Tamandua tetradactyla: one gene and its partners. The protein of the gene in region 4 interacts with the protein of the main gene of each other region in a biochemical or structural test. Links are inferred from orthologs where the notes say so. Each region holds a gene or a part of one and is shown on either strand. Other genes may lie near its edges.

What was found.
Region 1: the proteins of THBS1 (region 4) and COL1A1 form a complex in vitro, tested with the Homo sapiens proteins (2 studies listed by BioGRID). The link is inferred for Tamandua tetradactyla from reciprocal best matches to the Homo sapiens genes THBS1 and COL1A1.
Region 2: the proteins of THBS1 (region 4) and LRP1 form a complex in vitro, tested with the Homo sapiens proteins (3 studies listed by BioGRID). The link is inferred for Tamandua tetradactyla from reciprocal best matches to the Homo sapiens genes THBS1 and LRP1.
Region 3: the proteins of THBS1 (region 4) and PLG form a complex in vitro, tested with the Homo sapiens proteins (2 studies listed by BioGRID). The link is inferred for Tamandua tetradactyla from reciprocal best matches to the Homo sapiens genes THBS1 and PLG.

What each region holds. Positions count from the first base shown.
Region 1 is NC_135332.1:31,352,347-31,359,884, forward strand, and holds the start of COL1A1 (collagen alpha-1(I) chain), read right to left. Parts: upstream 3,017-7,538; 5' UTR 2,873-3,016; coding exon 2,776-2,872; intron 1,302-2,775; coding exon 1,107-1,301; intron 982-1,106; coding exon 947-981; intron 843-946; coding exon 807-842; intron 698-806; coding exon 596-697; intron 1-595. UniProt on the Homo sapiens protein: Type I collagen is a member of group I collagen (fibrillar forming collagen).
Region 2 is NC_135333.1:124,313,804-124,321,718, reverse strand, and holds the start of LRP1 (prolow-density lipoprotein receptor-related protein 1), read right to left. Parts: upstream 3,019-7,915; 5' UTR 2,593-3,018; coding exon 2,457-2,592; intron 1-2,456. UniProt on the Homo sapiens protein: Endocytic receptor involved in endocytosis and in phagocytosis of apoptotic cells. Required for early embryonic development. Involved in cellular lipid homeostasis.
Region 3 is NC_135337.1:64,344,943-64,352,437, forward strand, and holds the start of PLG (plasminogen), read right to left. Parts: upstream 3,019-7,495; 5' UTR 2,946-3,018; coding exon 2,897-2,945; intron 1-2,896. UniProt on the Homo sapiens protein: Plasmin dissolves the fibrin of blood clots and acts as a proteolytic factor in a variety of other processes including embryonic development, tissue remodeling, tumor invasion, and inflammation. In ovulation, weakens the walls of the Graafian follicle.
Region 4 is NC_135340.1:52,658,767-52,665,615, forward strand, and holds the start of THBS1 (thrombospondin-1), read left to right. Parts: upstream 1-3,835; 5' UTR 3,836-4,201; coding exon 4,202-4,415; intron 4,416-4,726; coding exon 4,727-5,286; intron 5,287-6,140; coding exon 6,141-6,216; intron 6,217-6,532; coding exon 6,533-6,732; intron 6,733-6,823; coding exon 6,824-6,849. UniProt on the Homo sapiens protein: Adhesive glycoprotein that mediates cell-to-cell and cell-to-matrix interactions.

The DNA of each region.
Region 1 (7,538 bases), on a different chromosome or scaffold from region 4:
CACTTATGAGATAGTCCTGCAAAAAAAGTGCATCGCCTGAATCTAATCATGAGGACACTTCAGAGAAACCCAAATTGAGAGACGATCTACAAAACATTTGGCCTATACTCTTCAGAAAGAACCAGTGTTGAGAAAGGCAAAGAAAGGCTGATGTATGCCCCAGATTAAAATAAACTAAAGAGACATGACAATTCAATGAAATTCATGATCCTGGATTGTACAAAAATTGTTATAAAAGACATTGCTGGGACATTGACGATATTTGAATATAGACTATTTTAGATAATAGTATTGTATCTATGTTAAATGTAGTCATGTGCTATGGTCATGTAAGAGAATGCTCTTGTTTTTAAGAGATGCACACTGAAGTATTTTGGAAGAAAGAGGCATGATACCGCCAATTTTCAAAGGGTTCAGAAAAAATAATGATAATGCATATACATACAGACTGATAAAGCAAATGTGCAAAATGAGAGGTCTTTGCACTATTTTCGCAACTTTTCTGTAAGTTTGAAATTATTTCGTCTGTAAAAAAAAAAGTGTAGAGGGAAAGGAGCAGACAGAAGCCTTCCAGATGCCTCCACTCTCCACTTACTCCGCCAAGGCCAGGGGGTCCGGGGGGCCCAGGAGGTCCGGGAGGTCCGGGAAGTCCAGGCTGTCCAGGGATACCATCTCGGCCTGGAGGGCCTGCGGGTCCCTAAGGGAGAAGAGTTTGGGGGCGGGGTGAATGTCGGCCAGAGGCCACGCCCACCTGCAGCCATCCAATGGAGAGCTAGAGAGAGCGAGCAAGCTTGCGCAAGGCTTACCTTCGGGCCTCGTGGGCCGGTGTCTCCTTTAGGTCCCTATGAGGTTGGGGGAGAAGAAACAAAAGAGGTCGAGTTAGAGAAGGGCGGGCAGTGAGGAATCACGGCGGGTGGGGTGGCAAAATTCGAGGGCAAAGGATTACCTCGATTCCTGTGGTTTCTTGGTCGGTAGGTGACTCTAGGGGGAGAATGAGAGGCGGGTTAGAGGCAGACGCCTCCAAGGCGGGTTAGAGGCAGACGCCTGCAAGGCGCAGCGCCAGGGAGCGGCCCCGCCCTCCCCCAGCCCCGGGGCCGGAGCTCTACCATTGCGATCGGGGCAGACGGGACAGCACTCGCCCAAGGGGATATGGGCGCCGGGACAGTCCTGGCTTTCGCTGCATTTCACTTCATCACACAGCACTTTGCCGTTGTCGCAGACACAGATCTGGCAGGGCTCAGGTTTCCATACGTCTCGGTTATTGTACGTGATGCTATTTTGTATGCAGGTGACTGATGGGACTGAAGCAAGAGGGGGGCTGTCAGGGGTGCCCGAGACTTCCACCTCGGGGCCCCAACCCTCTTTCCCTCTACCCTAGAGACACATTTAGATTTTCCACTTCCCTCCTTATGCTCGACTCTCCCGCCTCCCCACCCACCCCCACCTTTCTCCAAATCCTTAAAAGCTCATCTGCTCCCCATCAGAGCCAGTGACAACGCCGAGGCTCCTGGCCAGCATAGCTATAACTCTTTCCAGTTCTCAGGAATTTAAACAAAACTTTAGGCGAGGGTTGCCCTCAACTCTAACCTCAGCCCATTGGTGCAGAAGCCAAGTGAAATAAAAAGCCGTTGGGGGTGGGTGGGGGGAGGAGAGAACAGGAACCGTCCTATCCAAAGGGCAGGCTTGCGGGGAGTGGTTTGGGGGAGACAGTAAGGGGGTTGGGTGGGAGGAGAGGAGGGAGCTCCAGTCCCCATTTCGCCCTGTTCCCTGGGCAGGTGGGGTGGCGTGGGCGGAGCTAGAGGAATGGGGAGGGGCTTATAGGAGTGGGGTCCCACCCAGAGACTTGAAATTGTACCCTAGAGTTAGTATATATCATAATCTCCAGAGCCAAGACATCTCAGAGCTCTCGAGGCCAACCTCCGTCTCCTAAAGGCAGACAGACCCTCTGGGTCACTTCTTAGCCAAAAAAACGAAAAGTCCGCAAGCAAACGAATCAGTTGGTTAACCACGCCCACCGCGCAAGCAACTACCCAGACCGCCACTAGGTGGCGGGCAACTCTAAGCAATGGGGACGTGGCGGGGCCAATTTCCTGGGATTCTTTTGAGTCAGAGGGCTATGTGGTCCCCGGCCTCTTGCTCCGGGTCTAGAGATGGAGTCCACGCCTGGCAATAACCCCTGTGTTTCCGACCCGGAACCTGCGCCCGGAAACGCTGAACAGAGAGGCGCAGTGCTGAGCACTGGTCAGCAGAGGACGCAAGGACCCCACCTTGCCAAGACCTCGCCAAAGTTTCTCAGCCTCCAGCCCGCCCACTCTCCGCGCCCCCTCCTCCCGCGTGTCTAGCCTGCAGAGAGGGCAAACAAACTTTCCTTATGAATCATCCCACAGCCATCCTGATCGCTTTTACGTCTTGGGCTCCAACCCCCCGGTTCGGCGCCCCCACCCTATTTTCAACGCGTCCCGCACTCCCCCTGCAGCCAGACCCCCCACTTTTCCTATTGCACTCGGCGGTGCGCCCTCGGGACTTCCCCCCCTGCGCCTGTTTGCGCCGCGCTTCATCCTTATCTCCCACTCCTGAGGGGAGTTCCTCCCCACCTCCCACCCCCGAGGGGAACTCCCTTCTCGCCCGGGGCGCCGGGGAAGGGTGCCTCACTATCTCCCTTCCATTCCCAAGTATCCAGAACATCTCGAGTCTCAAGTTAAGTGGCGGACCCTCGGGGCCGAGCGCAGGGCGCGATACTAAGCAGCCGTGTACTCCCGAAAGTTTGGGACTTACTGTCTTCGTCTTGGTTTTCGCCCTCCTCTTGGCCGTGCGTCAGGAGGGCAGTGGCCGCTAAGAGGAGCAGGAGCCGGAGGTCCACAAAGCTGAACATGTCTAGACCCTAGACATGTAGACTCTTTGCGGCTGGGGTAGGGGGTTAGCGCCCACTCATGCGTGGCCTCACACTCCGCGTGCCTCCTGCTCCGACCCCGAGGAGAAACTCCCGTCTGCTCCGATGGCCAGCCCGGGCCCCTTTTATACCATCCAGACCCGACGCTGGGAGGAACCCTGACCGTCGGGGAGGGGGAGCCCTCCGCCCGCCCCCCAGCCAATCACAGCTGCCTGGCCCGGCCCCCGATTCGGGAGTTGGAATAGAGAGGGGGAGGAAGAGGGAAGGAAAGGGAAGGGAGTCCACCCCGCATCTCCCCCCTTCGCAGCACTGCTTCCCCAGCCCCCCAGCCCAGCCTGGGCCAGAGATATCGCCGCTGGGGTGCGGCCGGGTCCTCAGTGTAGTGTGGGCTAAGGAGTGGGTGGGGGAGCCCCTTTGCTGTTCTCTCTGGAACTCCCAATCGGCCCGAAGGGCAATTGGGGAGCTGGGTGGCCAACCCCCCAAAAGTAAGAGGGCTGGGGATGACTGGGAGAGGTCCTCCTGGTCCAGCTCATCCACCTTCCGACACAGATAAGGAGACATCTGGGGAAAAGCCAGGGGACCTCTCCAAAGGAGGAGAATCAAGGAATTAAAAAGATGTCCCTCGTTGGGGTGTCTTCTGGTACGGTTGGGGTATGGAGCTTGGGAACATTTGAGGAACAAGTTAGAGATTCTAGACACTGAGAATCAGGTTGGGGGGGATGCCAAGGGGATTTTCATTTGAGGATGTCACTTCTGCCGTGCCTGAGGCTAGAAGACGGGCGGGCTCCAGTGTCCTCCCCCAAATCCTGGGCGCGATTGTGAGAGATGGAGTGGCAAGACCAAGGCACTGGGTGAGAAATGTGACTACATGGTGTCTCCAGAAGGAAGCTTTGGTGATGGGGCCCTGGGGTTGGGGTGTGTGTGCTAGGGCTGCTTCACCCAGAGTTGGGGAGTGAGCTTGGGGGGGGTGGGGCGACACCATAATCATTGTGTGAGGGGCTTGTGGCCAGGGACTGGTTAGAGACCCTCCCACCCAGCATAGTCAAACCAGAAAGAACTTGGGTGAAGAATGCTTGACCAAGGAAGGTGCCCCTTCTGGAAGCTGCATAGCCCCTTCTCCGGTTGAACCTGGACTCAGGGTTCCAGGTGTATGGGAGACCTGGGGTGTCTGGGGGAGGTTTGAAGTGGAATGCAGGAGAGGTTGAGTGACCTCATGGAGATGTTTCCCATCACCCCACCTCCTGCCTTAAAATCCAGACCATTGTTCTCTGCCTCTGGAGCCAGGAAAGAGTCATCTGGACCCTGAAAGGGAGTCGGGGGCTACTTTGGAAATGAGAAGTGGTTTCCTAGGCTATATTTGGGAGAGATACCTCCAGAAGTAAGTGTCTGCCTTCCCCAGATATTCTAACCTCCCAGCAGGGTTCTAGACCAACTCCAGTCTAACCAGGCCCCATCATCCTGCCCAATCTGTGGACCTAAGTGAGGGCAACGGGGCCCCTCTGCAATGCCCCGTCAGCTCCTCTCCCTCCTGCATGACTCCCCTACCCCCACTAGCTTCAGAGCTGCAAACGTGGAAGCGGGGAGTCACGCCTCCCCCAAACCATCCAAGATTCCATTGCTTCCCCCCCCCACCCCGCCCCTTTCCACACCCTCCCCCAGCTGGTTTTGTGCAACGAAGGCAAAGGGGGGAAAAAACCAAAAGAACAGAAGGGGAGGGAGCCACGTCGGCCATGGGCAGCCAGGATGAGCGGTACGGGTGGGGCAATGGAGGGAGACTGCAGGGGCTATAATTAAAGGGAAAATATAGTTTCCAGAGAGGCAGGGCTGGAGACAGCAATGGGGGGACAGACCTTCAGCAATTATCCTGACCATGTGGCAGCAGCTTGTGGCCCAGCAACTGCTCCCCCCAGCCACCCAGTGCCAGCGACAGCAGCATAGGTCCAGATACCTGAGGCGCTGAGATGGCCGTTGTTGGACCAACCCGTAGTCCTGCCCCCCACTAAGGATCAGTCCCAAGGGGCGCGCCCCTCACCCAGGGAGCAGAGGGAGCTGACATTTGGGGCGGTCACCCAGGCAGGGTGTCGGGGGGGGGGGGGCTCCGTGAGGAGGGGTGTGGCCCGCGCACCCCCCCCCCCCCCCCCCCCCGCAATGCTGAAGCTGTGGAGCCAGAAGGGCTCCTGCCTGCAGCTGTCTCCCCGTGCGCCCCGCCTGGGGCTCGCCCATGCCCACCTTAAAGAAGAGACAAGCCTCAGAGGTGGGGCTTAGGGCTGCCACATCATGGGTCTGGCGGTCTGGGGGGCGTTTGGAGACCCAGGGGCTCAGGAGTGAGTGGGCTGTGAGTGTGGTGTGTGACAGTTTCCACGCCAGTGTCCAGTTCCCGGCCTCACTCCCAGAGGCTGCAGCAGACGTTCCCAAGCATCCTTTACACGTGGCAAAGAGCTGAAGCCCAGGCTCTCCTTTGCCACTTTTTGACTTAAAACACTTGGCAGACACCCAGCCCGAAGATGTGTCTTTAATTTTTGCAGCATGACAGTGAGAGGAAGAATGTGCTTGGGGTCTCCTCCCAGCCTGGCTGGGCCTCCTTGGCCTGGACTGAGGACTGGAGACTGGGGGCGGGGTGGGGGGTGGGGAGGCGGGGAGCGTGGGCCCAATCGGGGAGGAGACGCCACCTCATCTTTAGGAAACTCTGAAGCTCTGGCTTCGGGTGGAATGTAAGACTTTGTCTGGCACTTGGGGGCGGGGGGTGAGCAAAAGCCAAAATCTCCTCTCCCCCCTGAAGAAATGGTAAAGTCATCAGCATTAGGAAAAAAATTCCTCAAAAAGAAAAACAGAAAGAGGAAAGTGCTGAGCTCTGAGTTCTCTCCCTCTCCAGATTTCCCTGTGTACCCCTCCCCCTGAGAAGGAGGGGCAGGGCTGTGTCCCCCAGCATCCCTGCTCCTGTGGAGTCCCTGCGGGGGGGGCAGGTCTGACTCCTTGGTGCTGGACAAGGGAGATGAGCCCTCTGAGCGAGAGGAGAGCAAGGGAGGGAGTGGAAGAGGGAGGCTGCGGTGGAGACCATGGGGTGAAGCTCCCCAGGGCGTCCACCCTGGAGCCCTGCCTGGTGTCCTGTGGAGGGGCCTGGGGTAGACCCCACGTGCGTGGGCCCTCTCTTCTTTCACGGCCTATGCCCTGAGGTCCCTTAGCTAAGCAGCTTAGCTTCCAGCATTCGGGCTTGGAGCTTTCTATGCCTCAGCCTCAGACCCAAGGCCTTGGACCTTCTGAGAGTTTCCTCCGTCCCTCCATTCCTCCTTTCCAGGTTCAGGGGGAGATGAATTCAGTTTTGCCCTTGTTGGGTGTTGGGTGCCTGTGAGATACTGAATAGGAAATGGGGAGAAAACCCTTGGGTGTCGGGGTCCGTGAGTCCAGGGAGACTGAAGCCGTGGGGCTGGAGGGACAGTGCGTGGAGAAAGCAGAGGTGAGGGGCTAGGACGGAGCCTGCAGGGTTGGGTGGAGGAGGAGGAGCCCAGCATGCGACACTGGGAGAGTGGCCAGAGAAGTAGGAGGGCAAGGAAGAGAGGGGTGTGGGTGTCATGAATGCCGAGGAAAGAGAGGGTTCTAGAAGGAGAGAGAATTCTATGCTGCAGAGAGAACTAGTACAACAAAGAATAAAATCTTCACCGAATTGAGCAGCATGACGGGGACTAGAGACCTAGGTGTGAGCTGTTAGAGTGATGGGCGAGGAAACCAGCTGGGAGTGGACTGAGGCGTGAGGAGGGGTGGGATGGAGTCAGACAGCAGACTACCCCTCGGAGGAGGCTGTGAGGGCAGCAGAGAGAAGATGCCTCAGCCTCCCTGCCTCCTTCTCCTCTTTTTCTTTCTTTCCCTAGGCTTTCCCCACTCCCTACTCCTTTCTTTCTTTCCCTCCCCTGCCTCCCTCCTCTCTCTCTGCTGTGTGATCTCTCTTCCTGCTCCATCCTCCCCATCTCTGGAGCCTCTATTTCTGGATTTCTGGTTTGTCCTGTTTTTCCCTCTTCTCCCTTTTCTCTTCTTCACAAGTGACCTGAGCCCTCAAATATCTTCACCCAGGTTCAGGCTCTACCTCATTCTCCCGTAGTGTGAGCCCTGAGTCCAGACCCTTGGAGATAAGCCTTGATTTCCAGTCCTGGCCAGACCCCTGCCCCATTCTCCAGGACACACACGCGCGCGCGCACACACACACACACACACATGCACGCACACACACATGCGCACACACACGCACACATGCATGCGCACACGCACGCGCGCGCACACACACACACATACACGCACACACGCGCACATACACGCGCGCGCGCGCACGCACACACACACATGCACGCACGCGCACACACACGCACGCACACACACACACGCGCGCACACGCGGACACACACACACATCATCCAAAGGGGGACCCCTGGGGAAGGAGGAACCGGGGAGGGAGGTGGGATGGGCAGGAGCGGGAAGGGCCTGGACGTGACCTGGGTATGCAAACTGACCGGTGGGGGGGTGCTGTCGGGAGCCCCTCGTCCTCACTGGGTGTACTCACCCCGCCTGAGTGCCCCACCCATCTTGCCTTCTGCAGGGTCAGTTCCCCAAGACAGGGGGACCTGCTGGGTCCTTCAGTGTGTCCCCAGACCCCTTCACA
Region 2 (7,915 bases), on a different chromosome or scaffold from region 4:
TCAGCATTTCCCCGCAACCCACGTCTGCCTGGGGCTGTCCTTCCCATTACACAGCGTTCCCTGATTTCAACCAGACCCTCGAAAACCCCTCTTCCCATTCGCCATCCCATCTGGCTCTCCATCCTCCCCAGCAGCACCAGCACTGAGTACTAGTGGGAACTAACACGACTCCCCAGAGAGGACTGTAGGGTGGATTTAGGCACAGAGGAGAGGGGGAGGCCCCTGTGCAGGGAAAGCAGCAGGGCCTGTGAGAGCAGGAGGAAGGGAGGTTAGGACCAAGCCAGGGGGCGTCCTTCTCTGGAAGCAAAGGAGAAAGCTCAGGGTGTGCACCTGAAGCATGAGGGTGGGGTAAGGATGAGAGGACCCTTTGGTTGCCCCAGGATAAAGACAGATGGTGGCACAGTTCTGGGCAGTCACCGGTCCACTCCCCAGCCCTGTCCATGGGGTGGACCTCATCGCACCAGTCCCATTCCCAGGATGAGAGTCACGGTGTGCTTTGGGGGAGGGGTCCTCTTTCTAGGACTTTGGGAAGAGGTGTGAGCTGGGGCTGCAGCAGGGGATTTTAAGGAAGGATAGGGAGATAGTTAAGGAAAACTTATCCCATCTTCCTCCTTCTTGAAGGAGGAGCCAGCTTGAGGTGGTGATTACAGCCCTTTAGAACTCTGGGAGTGAAGCTACCTGGAGCCCATTCCTGGTCAGGCTGGGGGCCTTTTCTGCTTTCCACAGAGACCCCTTGCTTTTGCCTAACTCTGTCCACCCTCTTTCATGGGGTTCCTGATGGGTCTTTCTCTTTCTCTTTCCATACTAAAAAATATATATATATATATATATTTTTTCCCTATCCATTCCCAGAACTGCAGCACTAAAATCTCTCTGCCTCAGTTTCCCCTCCCAACCTACAGAGCTGAGAAACAGAGGCAAGAACTTGCATGACTGAGGGAGTCATGGGCAAAGGCTGGCTGTGAAGGCTGGTCTAGAGGATATTCAGGGCAGAGTGCCTTTCTTTCTCTTGGACTGATAATTGAGGGAGTGGGAGGGGGTGCAAAGAAACAGAGCCCTGGATGGGATAACTGAGGGCCACTACACATATCCTCAGTATTCTGGGCATCGTTGCTTCCTGACCCCATAAACCCCTCCCCCAAGTGAAGCAAGCTCCAGGGAGGGCAGGAGAGGGAGAGATAATCTGGTTTCAGGGAAAAACTTTCCCAATCACAACCTGGCAAAATTCAGAAGATGGAGGAGGAGGGGGAGGTAAGGGAAAGGAGGACAATTGCTTGTTGCATGATGGTATCCGGCCCAGTCCCCGGGCCCAAACCCATAACCCCAGCACAAATCTTGGGCAAGACTTGAACAAGTGAGTCACAAGTAAAAGGGAAAAAAAAACAGCTGACAGAAAAAGGCCAGAGGGTGCATCCCGTTTCCCCAAAGGGACACTGTTCGTTCTAGCAGAAACCTAACTCTGCAGTATACAAAGTATGTATATATCTGGTTGAGGTAAGGTGGGATAAATAAACACATTTACCAAAGGATCAGGGAATTGGGGTATGGGGGTATGGCTATAAACCTAACCCACCCTCCAACTCTCCTTCTAGACCCAACTGTGATCAAGCCAGAAGCCAGGGAGAAAGCAGTCCCCCCACCCCCACTCCAGCATTCCAGGCCATTCTTCAGTACCCTTCCCCAATGATGACATATGACGTTTTTTCATCTCAAACCTCCCAGGAATTAAGAAGGAAAATTCAAAGTCACAAAGCATCCCCTGCACCCCTTTAGCCCCCCAGTACAGCTCTTCCCAGGCTACTGACAGAAGTCCTGAGGCCAGGAAGTGCCGACTCCAGAACGCAGGCAGGCGCCCTGCTGGATCCTGGATCCAGGCCTCCAGGCCTGGGCTCCCGGGCCCAGATTCCACACCCAAGCAGGGGGCCTTCCCCATGGCCCTCCCTCTCCCCACCCACAGCCTTCTTGGGCCTGCCTGCCCTCCGCCCAGCAGGGCATCCCTGGCCCTGCTACCCTCTTCAGCTTCAGAGGCCAAGGCAGAACCCCACCCCCCCCACCCCCGCCCCCTTTTGCAGCCGCACATTGCAAACCAAGATTCCTTCACAATTCAGATTGGGGAGGGGGATGCAGGATGAAGGGGAGGCAGAGGCCCTCCCGGACAGAGATAGGAATAGAAGGCCTTTGGATCTCAGGATCAGAAAGGGGGAGCCCTCATCTCCCTACCCAGGCCTCTGGTCTTTGTCTGGGCTGGGGGGTCCCTGAAGCATCATTTGCCCAGGCCCCCATCCCCCCAAATCATACCCCCATCCCCGCCCCCAGTGGGGCCGCTGCTGTGTCAGCTGGACTGGGATAACAAAAGACACCCCCTCCCACGTCTCTGTTCCCCGGCTCTACGCAGGAGTGGGGGCTGGGGAGGGGGTGTCCCCGGGGGTCCAAGGGGGCCGCGGAATCTCACTCACCGTCGATAGCCGCCGCGACCAGAGCTGAGAGCAGGGGCAGCAGCAGCAGCAACGCCGGGGTCAGCATGATGTGGGCTGATGCAAGCAGCAGCTCCCTCCCCCCGGGTCCTGCTACTTCTTGTCTTCGCCCCCCCATTTGGGGGGATCCCCCCTTTTCCTCCTTCCCCTCTTCTTCTCCGCTATTCTGATCCTTTCCTTTGGCAAAGCGCACCAGGGGTGTAGGTGAAGAGGCAGAGTTGGGAGTCCCTTGCGGAGGGCCTGCTGACGGGGGTGCGCCCTCTGCCCCCAAATCCAAACCCCTCACCCCCTGCTGTTCTCCTCGCTCTTCTCTCCCCCTCCCGGGGCGAAGCTCACAGCCCCATCTCGGAGCCGCCTCCGGCTGCAAAAATGCACAATTGGGAGGAGGCGGGGAGGGGGGAAGGTAGGGGGCGTGGACCGGGTGGGGGAGCCCTTGAAAGGGGCCTGATGGAGCTCTGGGGGCTCCCCTCGTTTCCGCCTCCTCAGTGCACGGGCCCGGAGCTCACACCGCTGTTCCTTGGACTGAGATGCTGCGGGGGGGCCGAGGGGGGAGAGGGAGGGGACCGGGAGAGGAGCGAAGGAGGGAGGGAAGGGGCGGGGAAAGAAAAAGTGTAGGGGGGGGGGTTGTAGAAAGAGCTACGCGGCAGTCCTGGCAGTGCGCATGCGCCGGTTTGGCGCGCTGCCCTGGGGAGGGGGAGTCGGAGGAGCACCGAGACTTGAGCTCTGAAGCGGTCGGAGTGTGGGGGTCCCGGGCATCCGCCAGTCCATTTGGGACCCGCAGCGCCCTCTCCCCTGAGTGGCCCCTTGCTCTGCGCTCCAGAGAGCTGAACGGGCGAAGTGGGGAGATGGGCAGTGGGCGAGGAGAGCCGCTCCTCTTAGAAACTCAGAGTCGTACCCTAGGATTTCATTCCCCCCCCCAACTTCCCAGGGCTGGGGGTGTCCAAGACTCCGAGGTCTGCTGACGAGGCCTCCCCCGCCTAGGGTGGGGGCGGGGCCGCCAGTCCGCCGGGAAGGTGTGGGGAGAGGCCGGGCTTTGATTTGGAGACTTTGTAATACCGGGACCGGGATTGGGGCCTGCGGCGGAGGGGGGCGGGTGGAGGAGGGGCCGCGAGGGCCCGCCCCCTGGTCGCTCCGGGGTTCGGAGTAAACAGGGACACCCGCGGGGACACGCCAGAGCTTGTCCGCCTGCCGAGGGCTCGGGGATGGAGCCCACCTTAGCACCCGCCCCGCCCTGCTCGCCTGGCACCGGGCGCGGGAGGGGCAGGCTCTGGTTTGGAGGGAGGTGAGTCACTAGCGGGTGGCGTTGAGGAAGGGCCACCCCCCTTCGCCCCCAAGAGGTTGAGGCTCATTTTGTTTTGTTTTTTTGGTTTTGTTTTGTTTTGTTCTAATCTTCTGGCTGGCTTCCCACCAAGTCAGGGTTTTAGATTCCTGAGCACCAGGGATTTGGAGTCAGAGGAGAGACTCTGCACCTCTCTGCTTCCAGCGTGGGGTTCTAAGGGGGTGTCTGCTGAGAGACCTTTGTCCCCAGCCCGGAGCCTGTACGGGAATGCTACTTTGAGTCCTGAAGGCGCTGGGGGTTCCCCGAGTCCGAGAAGGTGCTTCTGGCTACTGCCCCCTTCTGGGTGGTGTCTTCAGGCAGTATCCTTGGTATCTGACTTTCTGGATGTGTGGAAGTCAAGAGTTCAGAGACCTGGGGCTGGAGACACTGGCAGCAGGAAATCAACCTTAGAGATGAGTAACAGTTGCTGCACCCTTCTCCCTTCCTAAAAATCTAGTCAAAAAAGGTCCCAAGTCCTCACTCCAGTCTTTCCCTTACAGGGACAGCATGAAAAAATTGTTAGTGGCAGTGGGAGCACGAGAGGACTCCAGAAAGAACTTGACCTTTACCAAAACCAGGGATTCTTTCGAGCCCTCTTTGCTGCTTTGCAAGCCTGTGTTCAAGGCTTGTCATTTTTTCCTTGGAAATATATCTCAGATTTCCTCCATTTCCACTGCATGAGAAAGTTTCTCCAGAGGGGCTGGGGTCTTATTCATCCTTGTATGCGGACCTCATGGCCTAACTCCTGGCAGGGACTCACTAAATGCTTTTTAATGAACGCTACTAGATTCCTCCCTCTCCCAGGGCCCCCTCGGAACATTCCAATCCAAGTGAAATCAGGTGGAATCGGACTTCTTGCAGCTTTGAAAGGAAAAAGGTATCTGAGTGACTGTGTGGCCCGAGGGGGCAGCCTCATTCCTTTCCCTTCCATCTGTCTTATACCTGTGAATCGTCTTAAAACTCGGCCTTCTCCCTGTCTCTCCCTTGCTGGTGACCCTCTCCTGGGTATTTATAGGCAACTGAGTCAAGTGTGAAAGCTTCTCCCAGACAGTCACGGCCTTTCAAAATCTGGCCTCAGCCAGCATATCAACACTGACCTCTGGCTACCTCCTCGCTCCTGCTGTTTCCTAAATGTGAATGTGTATTTATTTTTTAAGAACTTTATATTGTAAAAAAAAAAGAAGTGCATGCCTAGTGGTTTTAAAAACTCAAAGAGGATAGAAAGGTACAGGTGAAAAGCAAACTTGCCACTCTTCCACACTCCCATTCCTCAGCCACGTCCCCAGAGTAACCGCTGCTAATAGTTTCTTTGGTCTTCTTTTTTTTTAACGTTAGACAAATATTAATGAATATCTTTAAATAACACAAATGAGCTCCTACAATATTATACTGTCCTATACCTTGCTTTGTTCAATGAACTCATCTTGATTCCTTTCTGTATTATACTTACATGTCAAGCTCATTCTTTATATTGGCCACTTGGGATCTCCTTGCTTGGACACTCCATAATCTGTTGGGATGGTTGGGCACCTGGGTAGTTTCCCGTATGTGGACTGCTGAGGGTGTCTCTAGGAGAAGAAAATGCTCTTTCTACCTGAGCCTTTGTTAAACTGTTCCCCAGCTTCTTTCTGCCCTCTTCAGAAAAACTTTCCTATTACTCTATCTCTGCCTATCTATCTGTTCTAAACTTGCACTCATGGTAACCTCCGGCCCCAGAGTTTAGCGCTCGATCATATGGGTCCAGGGTCCACCACCAGACTATAAACTCCTTGAGGGCAGGGACCATGTCTTTTACTTCTTTGTATCTACCTGGGCTTAGCAGTTCTTGATTAGTTTGTAGGGAGGCTGGCAGGAATGTTAGGACTAGGGGTACCTGACCTGGAGGAAGAGACAGTCATAAATAATTGATGTCAGATGGGATATGACTGTGAGCAATCTCACTTCCCTATCTTTTCTCTTATAGTATTCATCATTCAGTCCCTCTCTGCCTCAGTTTCTCCTCTTTCTTCCCACTGCTGTTCTTAGGAAGGTTTTTCTGTCCTGAAATTTGGGAGATGGAATTTGGTGAAAGTCATGGGAAATCAAGGAGGAATTCTCTACAATCCATTACTGGGAGACCTAGAAAGCTGAGAGTGGGCAAAAAAGTTTGGACCACTCTCCCCCCAATCCCCCCCCCCATCAGCAAATTGTTAAAAACCCTCCCTCCCCCTCCCTTTTCTGCCTGGGTACAACAGGGTCTGGGATAGGGCAATAATGGGGCAGCTCTGGGACTGAATTTCAGACCACAAACTGATACCACCTAGTGGTCAGTACTAGAAGTGTGCACAGGAAGGGGTATCTTTGAAGGGTCTGGTGGAAACTGGAAAGAGGGAAGAGCGCCAACAATTATTGAGTACTTTACAAGTGCCAGGCACATGCAGTGAATTTTATATGGATTCACTTCCTTAAGCCTTTTAACCACCTTGTGACGTAGGGGTTATTTCCAGTTGGTAGATAAGGAAATAGACCCTCAGAGAGATGAAAGAATCGGCCCCCAATCATAGTGCAGATTTGTGCCCATGTTTCACTCATTTAATAAACATTCATTGGGTATGTCACCTGCCAGGCACATTACAAGGCACTAGGGACAAGAGATTGAAACACACCCTCTCAGGCTTCAAGAAGCTCACAGATGAGTGGGGTTGCTCAACAGGTAATTGACAGTCACAGCACAGGACCTGAAACCTATGATAAAGACATGCACAGAGGGCCCTGAGAACCCCGAAGGGACACTTATTATAGATGAAGGGATCAGGCCAGAGCAGGACATGTGAAGACAGGATAAATGTTGAAAGAGACGAAGGAGATGACAAGTGAGGAAAGTAGGAAAGGGTATTTTAGGTAGGAAGGAGGAGAGGCTAAAGGAGTAAGTTTAAAACATTTGGGAAACTGAAAAATGTGGTATGGATGAAGTTTGAGGTACTTTTTGGGAGGGTACTGGGTATGTCACAAAGGCTTTTGTGTGTCACACTAAAGACTTAGCATTTTTTTCTTTCTTAGAAGGGATAGGGAGCCAGGTGAGAAATGATGTTTTTAACTAATGCACTAGTGATAGAATTGGAGAGGAAGAAAAGAATTCTAGAGGCATTAAGGAGGTAGGATCAAGTATAATAATTGGTTTTTCATGTAGGTCTAAAGGATGGTGACAGAGAGAGCTGGGCCTTTGAGAACACATTAGAATGTTCTCAAAGCTCTCAAATTTTAGCTGCACATTAGTATCACCTGGGGAGCTTTTAAAACTCCCAATACTGAAGGATTTATACCACTTTACTTCAAGACTTGTTAGCTACAGTAATCAAAAGAGTGTGGTAAGAGCTTAAGAATTGACAAACAGATGGAACAGACTAGAGAACCAGAAATAGACTTGCACTTAAAGGTCATTTGATTTTGACAAAGGCGTCAAAGTAATCCAGTGGAGAAAGGGATGTCTTTCAACAAACGATGTTGAAAAAACTGAAAATCTCTATGGGAAAATAAATGACTCTTGATCCCTACCTTATACCATACACAGAAGTTCATTCAAGATGGATCATAGACCTAAATCATAAAAGTGAAAATCTTAAGGCTTTTAGATTAAAATTCAGAAGAACATCTTCAAGACTTGGAGGTAGGCAGAAGTTTAAGTCATAGAAAATAAAAAACCTTGAAAGAAAAAAAAGATAAACATGAAAATTGAAAACTTTTGCTCATCAAAAGACACCACTAACAAAATGGAAAAGTAAGCCAAATAGATAAGTAAACCATTGATCTGACAAATTACCAATTTCTAAAAAAAATGGAGAAAAGATTTGAACACATACATTACAAAAGAACATATACGAATGGTGAATAAGCACAAGAAAAGTATTCAACATCTTTAGTCATCAAGAAAATGCAAATTACAATCTAAAAAACAGAGAGAGACCAATGAGACATTGACAATTAAATGCAATACATGGTCCTGAATTGGATCTTATAACGGAGGAGAAAATCCCCAAAAGGACATTATTTGGTACAATTGAAAAAATTGGAATATAGACTGTGTGTTTTATATCAATGTTAAATTTCTTAAACTTGATAATTGTATTTAATGTGGTTACATAAG
Region 3 (7,495 bases), on a different chromosome or scaffold from region 4:
TTGGTTCCAACACTCCCCTCAATGTGGTCAATGCTTGTGGAAGCCTGCCAGGGAAGACAAGTCTTTTCAAAAGGCTAGCTGTGAAAGGGGCAGTTCCTGATTTCTTTTTAAGACAAGACATTCTGTATGTTCATGGCATTATTCAGTAGAAATGTTTATTCAAGTCAGATTCTCACTCTCAGAAAGACCTTCCCTGAGCAGCCTGAAAATAAATACACTGAACAGGAGGGAGGGGATGTACCCTAATAAGTTAATACAAAGTCACCTTCCAAAGTTCACCCTTTCCCTACACCTAAGCTTTCATCCTTCCTCAATTTAAGATACTCGAATTGGAAGAATGGATTACTAAACAGGAGGGTAGCTGATGCCATTTAAACTTTAATGCAAACTTTAATACACCAAAAAGTCCTTGATAAATGTATCAAAACAGTAAAGAAAAATATGCATTGTAAACCTGTATACATGTCTTCACACGTCATTTTCTTCCTATTTTACTCTCAATTCTAAGAAGAGCTGTGCATTGGTACATTCTATAGATTATGATGTGATTTGAAATGCAAACACAATAAATCAATAAAGAATGCTCCATAAGGAGTTAAACACTTTGGAGAGTTATGGAAGGTGTACCAGGCCAGGCTGTAAGTGGTAATTAAAATGAAGAAATTTCCCTTTACATCACCCTTTAATTATGCTACCTGTGAATACATAACAGATTAGAGAATGTATAGATTATGAGATCCACATTAGGAAATGATGTCCTAAAGAAATATCTCAGAAGAGAACCTTTTGTTTTTCTTTTTTGTTTAAAAACATTTCCCCTGGGTAGTGCAATGGTGGCTCAGGGGCAGAATTCTTGCCTGCCATGCCGGAGACCTGGGTTCGATTCCCAGAGCCTGCCCATGCGAAAAAAAAAAAAAAAGCTTTTCCCTCAATTGCTTTTTACCTTTTTCAGCATCAGGGCTTATGTGTCAAAAGGTATAATATGGTTTATTTGTTGACGAAGAAACATTAAACAAATCTTTTAATAGGAAAAGCATTTTTGCATAATAGACCAAATATAGGTATATATTGCTATCAAAGCTGGTATATTTTTTCAACCATATAGAGTTGTAATTTGGAATAAATGTGAGCAAAAGTGAGAGTGTGTGTGTGTTAGCGTGTGCGTGTGTATATGTACGCTTCTGTGTTTGAAAGAAAAGACTCAGTGGTCCATGAAAAGTAAAATGCTTTTCCAAGTCTCATATTTTTTTTTCTCTCCCAAGCATTCCAGAACAGTGGAAAGATGAAACATATGTCCAAGGAAAGTGAGAGCAAATGCCTTAGTTTCAAGAAGAGTTTATGAACGATGGGATTTGGAGGGGTGGCGGTTAAAACATATGTTAATCCTGTTGCAGAGAAGCTTGTTTAAACATTTGGGTGTAGCCAACTGAATAAGTTCATAATGTTCCAGGTGCCAATTTCCATGGACTGAAATAGAATATACCTGCCCTAGCCCCTCACCCCCCACCCTACTTACAACCATCTCCCGCAAAAATCTCTGTTTCATCTTCTCCTGCTCTATATTTTCTTTGATATTTGTTTTAATGACTTCTACCAAAATGAATGTATTTGATTCTAATTTAAAATTCAACTTGTAAAAATCTACCTGATAATTTATCAATCAAATATTAGATACTTGTAAACTGTTTATATAAATGCCTATTAGCATGCTGTAGGATTCCATCATAGGAGATATCCAGAATAGGCGAATCTATAGAAACAGAACATAGATTAGTGGTTTTTTAGGGCTGGGGGATGAGAGGATGGAGGGAGAGAAGGGGACAGCTAAGGGATGTTGAGTGTCTATGGAAGGTAATGAAATATTCTAAAATTGATTGTGTTGATGGATGCACAATTCTGTGAATGTACTAAAAGCCATTAAATTTTACCAATTAAATGTGAAAATTGTTTAGTACGTGAATTAAATTTCAATAACGTTGTTTGAAAGAAGAACTAACAGGACAGTTTTAGAACATTTTAAAGGAGGTTTAATAAAGTTGAAAAAGTAAGAAGAGCAGTAGATTTCTTCTTAGAAAACCTGGATTTACATCCTGGTTTCTTCACTTTCTGGATTCAGGAGGTTAGTCAATGGGCAAATAGCACGATTTCTCTAAGCCTAGATTTCTTCAATATAATCTGTAGATGATAAAATCTATAATCCATCTCACTAGCTAAATAAGCTAATATTAGCATAGGATGTGTGGGTGTGGGTGTATGTGGGGGTTTATGAAAAAATTTCTGCTTACCCCCAACACTAAATGACTATTTTTGAATTGTTTAATTTGTTTATGCACACATCATTTTGCAAATACATTCATATAGCTTCTCCATGCATAAGAAGCAAATACATAAGTACAGAAAAGCCTCCCTTGAGCTTAACAAATAGGGAAGTGGTGTGTGCAATTGCACAGATGGTCTAAGAATATCATATACTGGAAAACATATTTCATCGTTCTAAATTTTGAAGTGAATGGAGCATGATACTTTAATGAAAATATTCTAAATTAATCAATTTCAAACTAATAGCCAGGCAAATGGACTAACGAATTTTGGTGTTAGCTATATTGGCTACTTTTTTTTCAGCCAAAATAATAATCACTTGGACTCAATCTCTGAGGTTTGAAAAATAATTCATTATTTCCTCTGCCCATTCGCTTCCACCACCGTGACAACATTCACAAGGAAAATAGACTTATTTCTTCAAGAATTCCTCAAGCTCATATTAGACTTTGAGCTGGAAATCTCATAAAATGAAAGCTAAATTGAACAAACTGTGCAAAATCCAGAGCACATCTATTTTTGAATACATGGCTAGGAATAAAGACACTCATTAAAATAAAAAATGTCTAAGTCTTACCTGATTTCAGAAATAAAAGAAACAGAAGGACTACTCCTTTATGTTCCATTTTGGGACTGGCCAGCAAGGTCCAGAAAACAGCGTGTCCCAATCCCAAAATGATATTGACTCATCTAAGAGAAGCTGCCCCCACAAACAAGATAGTCAAATTAAGTTAATGATTCTCCTGAAGGCCCATGCCACTGCACTCGAAAGCGTTCAAACATTACCGGGGCCAGAGGATCTTACAAAATGCTTCATGGCGGGATGGGCAATAGATGCGGGGAAGTGCTGAAAGCGTATTCCCGCACCCTGCTGCCCGCCCCCCTCTTGGCCTCCCTTTATCCTCCAAACCCAGTTCTTCATCTTTCCCGCTTAGTCTGCTTCCTTCCCCCTCCTTTCATTCCCTTTCTTCTAGGCTAAAAAATTCATGATCAAGGCTCACATTTTCTGAGACCTTTCTCCATGCCACACACTGCTGAGTGGTGCATGGATATAAGTTCATTCAAACTTCACAACATGTACCGAGCTAACCACTGTATCATCATTCCCATTTTAAGATGAGAGAACTAGGGCTTAGAGGGTTTGACCAAGGTTACCTGGCTAATGACAAGTGAAGATAATAGATACAAACTGTACAGGCTTTAGATTACACACTAAAAGCTAAGGTGTGATTGTTAAAATTCCAACATCCTACCCAACAGTGAAGAAATTAAAACCTAAGTTAAAATATTTTATTATATTTAAATTTCCTTATCCTCAATGGGCTCAGATGTTGCCTGCAATTGTACATTATTTTGTTGACATATCAATCCTTTCAGCAATTTAATTCACCATGTAGTATATCCTCATCTTCACAAAATAAAGTAAGAGTTTAACATTTAAATTTTAAAGAGTGTGTCTCAATTTTAATACTTGACTCCGTGTTTTCCCTGGCTTTACACTAAAGTGGTGATGTAGAATGTGCTTTAAAATTCCTAATCCTCTGGAGAAATTATTCAAGAATAGTTCAATTGACCTTTTTATTTTAAAATTTAAATAAAATTTAATTTATTTAAAGCATTTAAATTTAATTTATTAAAGCATTTAAAGCATTTAAATTTAATTTATTTAAAGCATTTCCCAACCTTGGAAGAACAGTGTACGCTTTCTTGTCCTTTTACAAGAAAGCGTACACTGTTCTTCCAAGGCTGGGAAATGCTTTCCTATCAATCAACTAGCAAAGTGTAGAGTTGGGGGCCCAACCATCCGGGTGAACATCCTCTGGAGCCCCTGCAAGTGAAGTGCTGGGCAGAGATTTCAAAACACAATGGGGCCACGATGAGCTAATCACATCCCCCGTGTACGATTTTGCCTATTCGTTCCTCTCTCAGCTATTTCCTCCCTTTAGCCTCTTCTTCTCACCTAAAGGCCAAGCGTATTTAATGGAGACCAAAGGTGGACATCAGCGCTGGCCAGACTTCTTTCAAAACATGTGAAATGTCTTCTACTGGGTTATGTTGGCATCTTTCAGAAAGTATAAAGTCCTTTGGGACAAGGTGAGACTCTACTAACTATTTTCATGTTTCCAGTGTGCTTTCATTTCCATCTAAAATATTGTTTCAGTACCATCTTATGGACAAGTCAACTCAGGAATAATGTTACGGCGAATCCAACATCTACATAATTTTCCTTTTCCGGTTGTTTTCTGATTTGGGTGGATTGTGTAAATCAGGTCGTCCTCGCTGTGGCCTCTGCCCAGGCAGTCTTCAGTACCTTCATGACATACCAGCCTCATGAGGACTCAGGGGAACATTGATCCAAACTTCGCTATTGGGCTGTTTGCTTCTGAGGCATGAGAAGAAAACAGTAGAAGCTCTACTCAGGGATGGGCTGGGTTGGAGGCTATAGAGACTTCCATTATGGTACAGCCCTACATCTCGGGAAAAAAAAAAGTGATTTTGCCTTGTAGGAACAGACTAGGCGTAAAGGAATGAAGTGTTCATGAGTGTGCATATGAATTCCACACTAGCACTTTTATTAGAGGGGTATTGGATGGTTGTTTTCCCATGGCTCTAAGGACAATGAGTACAAAGTAATTATTCTTTTCTATTTGAAAGAATGGCAGGCACTGAGAACAGAGATATAGAAAGAGAGCTCAGTTCTGTACACTATTAGCAGGTTGAATAAATTCTGAAATGTGTGTTCTGATTTACTTCAATTCATTATGTATCTATTGATCACCAAAAGTGTGTACAGGGTTGTGGCAATGTTTTAGCTTCCCGGTTGCTAAAACAAATATCATGCAATGGGTTGGCTGAAACCTCGGGAATTTATTGACTCACAGGTTTGAGGCTAAGAGAAGTCCAAAGTTGAGATGCCATCAAGGCATTGCTTTCTTCCAGAAAACTGTGGTGTTCTGGTGCTGGATTCTACTGTTTTCTTCTCATGCCTCAGAAGCAAACAGCCCAATAGCGAAGTTTGGATCAATGTTCCCCTGAGTCCTCATGAGGCTGGTATGTCATGGAGGCACTAAAGACTGCCTGGGCAGAGGCCACAGTGAGGACGACCTAATTACACAATCCACCCAAATCAGAAAACAACCGGAAAAGGAAAATTATGTAGATGTTGGATTCGCCGTAACATCATTCCTGAGTTGATCCTTGGTCCATGGATTTTCTGCCACATAGCAAGGTACATGGTAGTGTCTTCTCCCATATCCTCCAAGTTCTGTTGAATTCCAGCTTCTGGCTACTCCCAGGATCTTAAAATAAAATGGAAGACAAATCTAATTTCCATAGCTCTATCAAGCATTGGAACATGCCACCAGGGTCCTCTCAGTTTTTCTTAAGAATTTGCCCAATACTTCCAGTATTAAAATGGTAAACTCCTTGCAAGTACTAAGCAAGTACTTGTACTCATGAACACAAGGGAAGGTCAGTCTTACCTTCAGTCTTTCTTGCACACACCTTGTCTGAAGTGGAAGCTATGCCCAGGTCACAACCTCCCAGGGAATGGGCTTTCACATAGCCTGGACCTCAAAGGCTGGCCATGAACATTTGCACCTGACAGTTCCCTCCCAAACAAGTTTTCTGCTTCCTGTTGACCCCACAGACCTCCTGTCAATGGCGACTTGCCATTCTCAAATGGCTGATAGTTTTAGCAGGAAAATCTCTGAGTATCTTCAGCAAGTCATGTCATTTCAAAATGAGAACAGCAAAAAATAATTAATGTATTAGGGACTCAAGCAAAAGATGCCTTTGTTTTTGCAAGGGTTCTTAGCAAGGTAAATGCTCTTGATGCTAATTTTTAGATTGCTTTTACTGTGTCATTTATAAGGACATATTGCCTTGGAAACATGTTCTAATTGATCTAAAGTTATCTTTCATTTCATTCTTTTGATCTTTCTCTCATGTTTGTTAGCCTTTGTTCATCAGTCTCTGAGACCATGTAACAAGATGCTTATCAGCCCTTACCTCCGGGAAAGAGATAACAGGATTGCCCAGTTAGCTCAGTAGTTAAAATGTAATCCACAAGGAACACTTCCTAAGGCCTGAAAGATTAATTCAATGTTCAGTAAAGTAATATTTCCTTAATTGAGTGTTTGAAGAAATTGAGATGTTTGCTCATTTTTAAAAAGTGTAGCACCCATTAGGCAGCTCTTCCTCAGATGTATATTATGCTTATGAAAAATATGAGTAGAGAAGAGAAAATAGGAATTTCTGGATTATCCACCAGCCTGTGTTGAATCAGGCACCAGGACTCCTCTGAGTTCCAGATCCACTGGCTGGTACAGGAGCTTATGTGAGAGATAAACCAAATCATCCTTTCCATCTCTAAAATTCATTATTCTCTAAGATAATTTAGGTAAAAATCATTTCGTTCAAGAGTATCCCAGAATTTGGGAGAATAAAACACATGGGAAACACTAAAATCTTTTGAGAAACAAAAAATGAGTACATGTAAAAGCTGATGCAAGCTGGGGGATTCATTACATCCTGCTGACGGCAGTTCCCTGGTTTTATAAGGTACGATAGCTGTGTACGAAGGCACCTTTGGTATAGTATGGGTCATGGCTATTTGGGGCCTCTCCGTACTATTTTAAAACTTCTTATGCATTTATAATCATTTCAAAATAAAACATAGAAAATATATGTACACACAGATAGGATAATGCACATACTTTGGGCATATGAAAGAGAACTCCCAAAGTATAGAAACCTATGCAGGAAGAGGCTAAAGCTACAGGATTTCGAAATCATGGTGCAGAAACTCAGCCTTTGACTGATAGATGGTGAGCTTGGGGCACGTATGAGCAGGGTGGGAGAGGTCTCTGCGCTGCCACCCCAACCTCCTGGCTCCTGGACAGACACACCTATTAAGGTGCTGATTGATGCCCTTCACGCAGCAGCTCCTGCACACGGGTCTGGAATCCCAGAACTGGAAGGAGTCCAGGTCTGCTCTGACCTCCTGGGCACTCAGAGGGGGGGACCCACCATCCCTGCACGCCAGGAAAACAAGGCTCCAGCCTGGACAATCTCCTCTCGACTAGACCCCATCTAATGACTTCGTGTCCCTCCTCTCCTAGCTGCATCCCAGCTCATGGGCACCACACTCCAATACAGCCTTGTGAACGTCCAG
Region 4 (6,849 bases):
TTGGGGTTGAACAAACCAGGGAGTATTTCACAGTTTCTAGAAGTCTAGGCTAGATTGTCTCCAGTTTTGCAAAACCCACTTAAGAATTAAAGTGATGCTTCATCACATCCTGAGCTAGTGAACCCGAGGTGACAGCCCACTCCATAGGCAACCACAACCTCAAGCCAAAAATAGCACCATCCCCAGAAGCAACAATAAGTTTCAGTAAACTCAAAAGAAAGCAAGGAAACTAGGGGAGTTGGGACTCTCTTTACAGGGAGAGGAGGGAATGAGATCATGCAGTTCGGCCTTTGGTTGGCAAGTTGTGCTCAGTCCATGTCTTCTTCTGACTTTCCTTCCTCTCTCTTACCTTCACCTCCTAAGTGTCCCTACTTCTCCTTATCTCCCTATTTTGAGCACATGACTTGCTCTTGAATAGTAAACTGGCAAAATCCTGCTGATTTTAAAACTGAAATGTCTCCAAAACCACATGAAATTAATCTTAAGGAGCAAAACAATATAACGGGAAGGACTCTGAGCCAGAAGGTAGAAAGAACACTTGGGTTATTTCCTGGACTTCCACCACCCTCAGGCTCTATGAATTTTTTCAAGTTACTTCACCTCTTTGAACCAACTTCTCCATCTAAAAAACTAAGCAGTTGGACTAGATGGCTCCCTCTGACTTAATAATTCTGAATTTTCCTTTTGGTAGAATGTTAAGCTCTGGTGGAGAGAGCAGAAACTGGAAGCAGAAGCACGCTTGGTGCCCATCAAATTAAAACCACACGGGTAGTTTCCCAGCCCCCTGATCTGTAAGGCTGCCTCTGGCTGAGCTGCCTTCTTATAAGGTGGCAAATATTTGAAAAGAAAAGTTTCCACAGTGAAACGCAATCCAGCCCATACTTATTGATGGCTCAGAAGGCACTGAGATGAGTAAAACATAAAACTGAGTAGAGAAAAGAGGGATAACGGAGAGTGAGAAAGACTGCTGGCAAAGACAGAGCTTTCCACACTGGGTCCCTGTCACCACCCTTCAATCGAGAGTAACTTCCTGCACCCATTGCCCAGAGGAACAATATCTCCCATGTTAAAGGTGCTAAGTTTTTTTCCCCCTTTTCCCATTCCTGCTTCTCCCACAGCTTCCCAGGGGAACTGAGTTTTTGGGGAATATTTGTAGCACATGGGACCAGGAGGAACGTGGGTTGGTTCTAACAGCCAACCTAACATCCCCTCTCCTGTGGTCCATCCTTTCCACCAGGACAACGGGAGTACTACGAACTGGGCAAGGGCTTTGTGTTGGTGGACAGTCCCTGTACCGCTGTCAGCTTTCTCCGACAAGAAAGCGCTCCCTACCGTTATATAGTTCATCTTTTTATTTGTAAAGCATATAGAAGGTAAAAAGAAAGAAAAGAAAAGAAAAATCATTTTCCTTGTCTTGTTGGAAAAAGTCAAGTTCCAAGAAAACTCTGGAGATACTGCTACACTCCCTCACTCATCATAGCCTTCAGCCTGAAGGAGCAATCTGCTAAGCCTAATGGAGACATCTTTTAAGGAAAAGTGCTTCCCACTTTTGTGGACCTAAAAGCCCTCATCAACTCTGTACAAAATTAATAAGTAGTCCAGAGGAGCCTGTGGGTCATCAATAGGTCATCTCTCCAGAAGAACTGCTTTTAAATATCAGGTATCATGAAGAATTTTTGGTTGGCAAGTTGTGCTCCAAGAAGGAAAAAAAAATCACCCTTCCAAGAGATAACTTGATGTTGGGGAAGAGGAGAGGGAAGGGAAGGAAAGCGTATGGCTGCTGACCCCGTTTGGATGAATCATTAGGTATGACTTTTAGGACAGGAATCTGATTTGACTAGTCATCAAAGAAAAACTTATTTCTACCTCTCAACATCTGAAAATGTAACCAGCTGGCAAATTTAGTTATTACTTAAGCCACAAACAAACATGTGCCTTAGGAACAGTTTTTCTCTACGTGTTTGGTCTATATATTGAGTAACTGGAAAATGCTTATTACTTAATCCACACACATACACACATGCTCCTTGTCACAGAATACTCCCACCTAAGAAAAGTGAAATTGCTGTTTGATGATTGTAAAGTCGTGGGTGTTTCCAGTAGTTACAAGTTCTACCAAGCTTAAGTGCCAAGAAACGGAGGTGGACCCCAGAGTTAACCCGGCCTGTGGCTGAGGCCCTTATTTGGTGAAACTGCTACCTGCACCCTGTGTCTTGAGGCCAGCCTGATAGAGCAGGACCATAGCAGGGGAAGCGAAGCGGCAGCTGCTGACGTCCCAACCCGAAGAGATGAATGGAATTCCAGGCAGCTGGAGTCATGCTGGCTTGGGACAGTGGCTTGGAGACCAGACTTCCAATGACAGAAACTTTAGGCAGGAGCTCTTATGGCAATGTGTGCTCCCACAGAAATGTAACCCGCACCTCGGTTGCTGGAGCCGAAAAATGAAAAGAATGTTTAGTGAGGAAAAGGAAAAATAAAATGATAGGCAGAGGGTAATTTATTACTCTGTAGGTCTGTTCTGTGAATAGTTTAGGACTCTGGAGTCAGATGGTCCTGCAAATTCTCCAACCAGGAGTCACGTTAAGAAGCACGAGTGGGCACACAAAGTGTTTTTCAAGACACAATTTCAATTTTGGCTTGAGGGAACTGGATAGGAATAAGTTTCCCTAAAATTCCTGACTAGAAAGAAACTGTTCTGGTAGTCCCCTTGATCCGAATACGCACACCGCCCCCAAGCGGCAAGCCGTGGTAGCGCCGCAGCAATTCCGAGAAGCGAGTTTCAAAAGGGACTTCTGCCACAACTGCGGGAAAGCGTGCTGCACCGGGCTCCGTACACAGTCCCTGCTTGCCCCAGCGCGACACCGAAGTCACCTCCCTTAGTGGGTCAGGCGAAGGGCAGGCGGGGGTCGCCGGGGATGGGGAGGGATAGCAAGGGCAGCAGCGTGGCGCAAAGTCCTTCTCCCATCAGTCCCCGACCCGGGCGGGTGGTCCCCCCACCCAACCTGGATGGATGCTGACAAGTACGCAAGAGGCAATTCTTTAAGGACTCTCATGGTCCCATTTACCATCAGGTTTTGTTTTTTTTTTTTTTTTTTTTTAACAAACGGGTTCCTTCTCAAGTATCCACCCTTCAGCTATTGCCCAGGCATTCAAGGAGCCCGGTTTGCCTGAAAATCCTAAGGGGCTTGGGTGGGTCGCCGAAGCCCCGTCGCTGCCCGGGATGCTCACACTTAACGCATCGGGCCCGCGTGGCTCAAGAGCCCAAGTCTGAGCCCCTGCGCGCCAAGGCTGCGTGGGCGGGCACCTATTTTTCGGAGAAGCCATAGTGCGCCTCTGCCCGCCTCCCCCGACCCTGGCCTCCAGCTCTTCACTTTCTGCCCAGGCAGCGGGGAGGTGGGAGCGGGGGGGTGAGGACGGAGGCGGGGAGAGAAACCCAGACTGGTCCCCCACCCCCCGCTTCCTGCTCGGCCGCCGCCGATTGGCCAGAGCAATCCCCTGGAATGTGAACGACACTTTAAAAGTGCGCGGCTCCTCCGCCTCGCCAGCCACTGCTCCCGAACCTGGCAGTGCTTTCGGGGCTCCTGCGAGCTGTCCCGGCGTAGCCTCCAACTCCTGCCTCGGACCTGTTGGGCACACCACCCGCGCCAGCGCCTCTCCAGGCCTCTCCGCGGGTCGCTGCTCCCGGCGCCGCCACTCTGCCGCTGCACCGGCGTCCACACAGGTAAGCGCACCCCGCGGCCGCGGAGGACCGATGCTCCTCCGACCTTGGCCATGACCCTCGAGCTTGAGGCTTCCGACAGCCCCTCCGGAGCCTCTCAGATCTCACTCATACTCCTTGGTTTTCCCCTTTCTGGTCCTCCGGGCCGCTGGGGTACTCCGGGGGAGGGCTCCGGAGCCATCCTCTCCTGCCTTTGGGGTTCACGACTGAATTCCACTCAGGACCCTCAACATTTTCTTCTATTCTCCAAGCCAACTGTAAACTCTTACATCGATTTTCATGTAAAAAAGTCTACTTTTTCCTTGTTGCTCCCCCAAACAAATCTCCTTGTTCAGCTGTCTACCCTGGACTTCCCAAGGAAAAGCCCCCAGATTGTTGGTCATTGTTCCCTATACTTAAAAATCACAATCTCCTGTCCCATCCGTCTCGTTTTCTTCGTGATGCCCTCTGAAAAGTAAATTCTGTAGTCCGTCATCCCAGCAAATGCGAGACCAAAGAGGGGAACCCCAGGGCCTTGGCCCTAAGCCCAGTTGCCAGTTTTCGCCCACCTTCTTGGCTTGGCTGGTCCCTGACCTTGGACTCTGTGCTTTCTGCTGCAGGCTCCTCTGCTGGGCACAAACCAGCTCCACCATGAGGCTGGCCTGGGGACTCGGTGTCCTGCTCCTGTTGCATGTGTGTGGCACCAACCGTATTCCAGGTGCGTCTGTGGAATACGTTTAGAGGGAGGAGGGCAGAGGAGGAGGTGCTGTTTACCCCAGGTGTGCCTGCTGTAATGCCAGGCCAAGTTTGAGCACTTAGGGTTGTCCTCCTGTGTGCTAGCTGCCAGCTGTTTTAACCCTGAACCCTATTAAACAACCGAATACAGCCCTCTTCTCTTATGGGTTAATTCAGCTCTCTCTGGTTGCCAGGAGTTTTTACTCTGGCCCCACCCTCCAAAGCTGACGCCCCCACCCGCAACCCTGATCCCAGCCAAGAAAGCTCACTGTGTATCCTGCTCCTGTCTCACAGAGTCTGGGGGAGACAACGGTGTGTTTGACATCTTTGAACTCACTGGGGCTGCCCGCAAGGGCTCTGGGCGTCGACTGGTGAAGGGCCCTGACCCTTCCAGCCCAGCTTTCCGCATTGAGGATGCCAACCTGATCCCCCCTGTGCCTGATGACAAGTTCCAAGATCTAGTGGATGCTGTGCGTGCAGAGAAAGGTTTCCTGCTCCTGGCCTCTCTGAGGCAGATGAAGAAGACCCGGGGCACACTGCTGGCCTTGGAGCGGAAAGACCACTCTGGCCAGATCTTCAGCGTGGTCTCTAATGGCAAGGCGGGCACCCTGGACCTGAGCCTGACCGTGCAGGGGAAGCAGCAGGTGGTGTCAGTGGAAGACGTACTCCTGGCAACTGGCCAGTGGAAGAGCATCACCCTGTTTGTGCAGGAGGATAGGGCCCAGCTATACATCGACTGTGAGAAGATGGAGAATGCTGAGCTGGACGTCCCCATCCAAAGCATCTTTACCAGGGACCTGGCCAGCATTGCAAGACTCCGTATCGCAAAGGGAGGTGCCAACGACGATTTCCAGGTGAGATCTCTTCTCTGAGCTGCTAGTTCATGGCATTGTCTGCTAGCCAATTGACCTGTCAGGCGGGCTGTGGCAGACAAGGGGAAAGGCTTCCAGGACGGGAAATATTGTCTATAGAGTAAATAGTGGTTCTCAAACTGTAGGGGGCATCAGAATCATCTGGAGGAGTTTCAGACTCATTTGGTCTGGGGTGGGAGTTGAGAATTTGCATTTCTAACAAGTTCCTGGTGATGTTGATCCTGGTAGTTTGAGAACCACACTTTGAAAACCTTAATTAAAGAAGAAATGTTTTTTTCTTTAACAGCAGCCTATTCAAACCTTATATACTCCTTATGTTCATCTCAGGAAAATAACTATTTCAAATGCATTCCACCAATTTTAATATTGCTTGAAACTTTTTGTATGGGCAGAATAAAGACCACTTTGCTGTTTGATTTCTCCTGGGGATGCAGCCAGTGCCAAATAAAAAGTTAAAACAGAAGGTGTGGCTATCTGCTGCAGCTTCTTCCTTGCCCTAACTTCTAGATCTTTGCAACTATGGCTTTGAAACTCCCACATTTAACCCTTTGACACTGGAGAGTGTCATATCCTCCAGGCTTAGTATCAGATTCCATTTCCTGTTTTCCCAAGTAGGCTGATAACTGGATTCTTTGTAAAATACTGAAGACTTGGCAGAAGACACAATCAAAATTTTGAAGTTGTTTGGCAATTTATATTGGTGGCTTGTTTTGACATAATGATAGTAAATGGAGCTCTTTTAAACTTTTAGAACATCTGTTGTGTGCTTTTGCTAGCATAGACAGCTCCCCTACTCCGACAACATCCTACAAGTAGTGTGTATCCTCTACCCACAGGGGGTGCTGCAGAATGTGAGGTTTGTGTTTGGGACCACACCAGAAGACATCCTTAGGAACAAAGGCTGCTCCAGCTGTGAGTACCCTTCTATTTTTAGGGCATATGGGGAAAGCAAGGGAGGAGTTCCACCCAGAACAAGCTGAGAAACCTAAGCAATGGTGGCTGTATATCAATTATTGGTGGCTGTATATCAATTATCCCTGGGTAATATAGTTAAAAGGCTGTACACGTGACCTAAAAAGGTATTACACGTACACATTCATCCCCTCCACCTGAACCCTTCACTCAAAATGGTATGTCTTTTATAACTAAGAACTCTAGGGATTGGCTGTGAGAGCATCTGTTAGATCTTCCTTTTTTTTTTTTTTTCATTTCTTTTGTTTCTCTGCAGCTACTAATGTCCTCCTCACCCTCGACAACAATGTGGTGAATGGTTCCAGCCCTGCTATCCGCACTAACTACATTGGCCACAAAACAAAAGATCTGCAAGCCATCTGCGGCATCTCCTGTGCTGAGCTGTCCAACATGGTCCTGGAGCTCAGGGGCCTGCGCACCATCGTGACCACACTTCAGGACAGCATCCGCAAAGTGGTCAGTGGCCTCTGCAGTCGGCCTGTAGCATGAGCCTTAGAAGGTTTAGCACATGATCCCGGATGACTAATGATCTTTCTCCCTCTCTTAGACTGAAGAGAACAAAGAGTTGGCCAT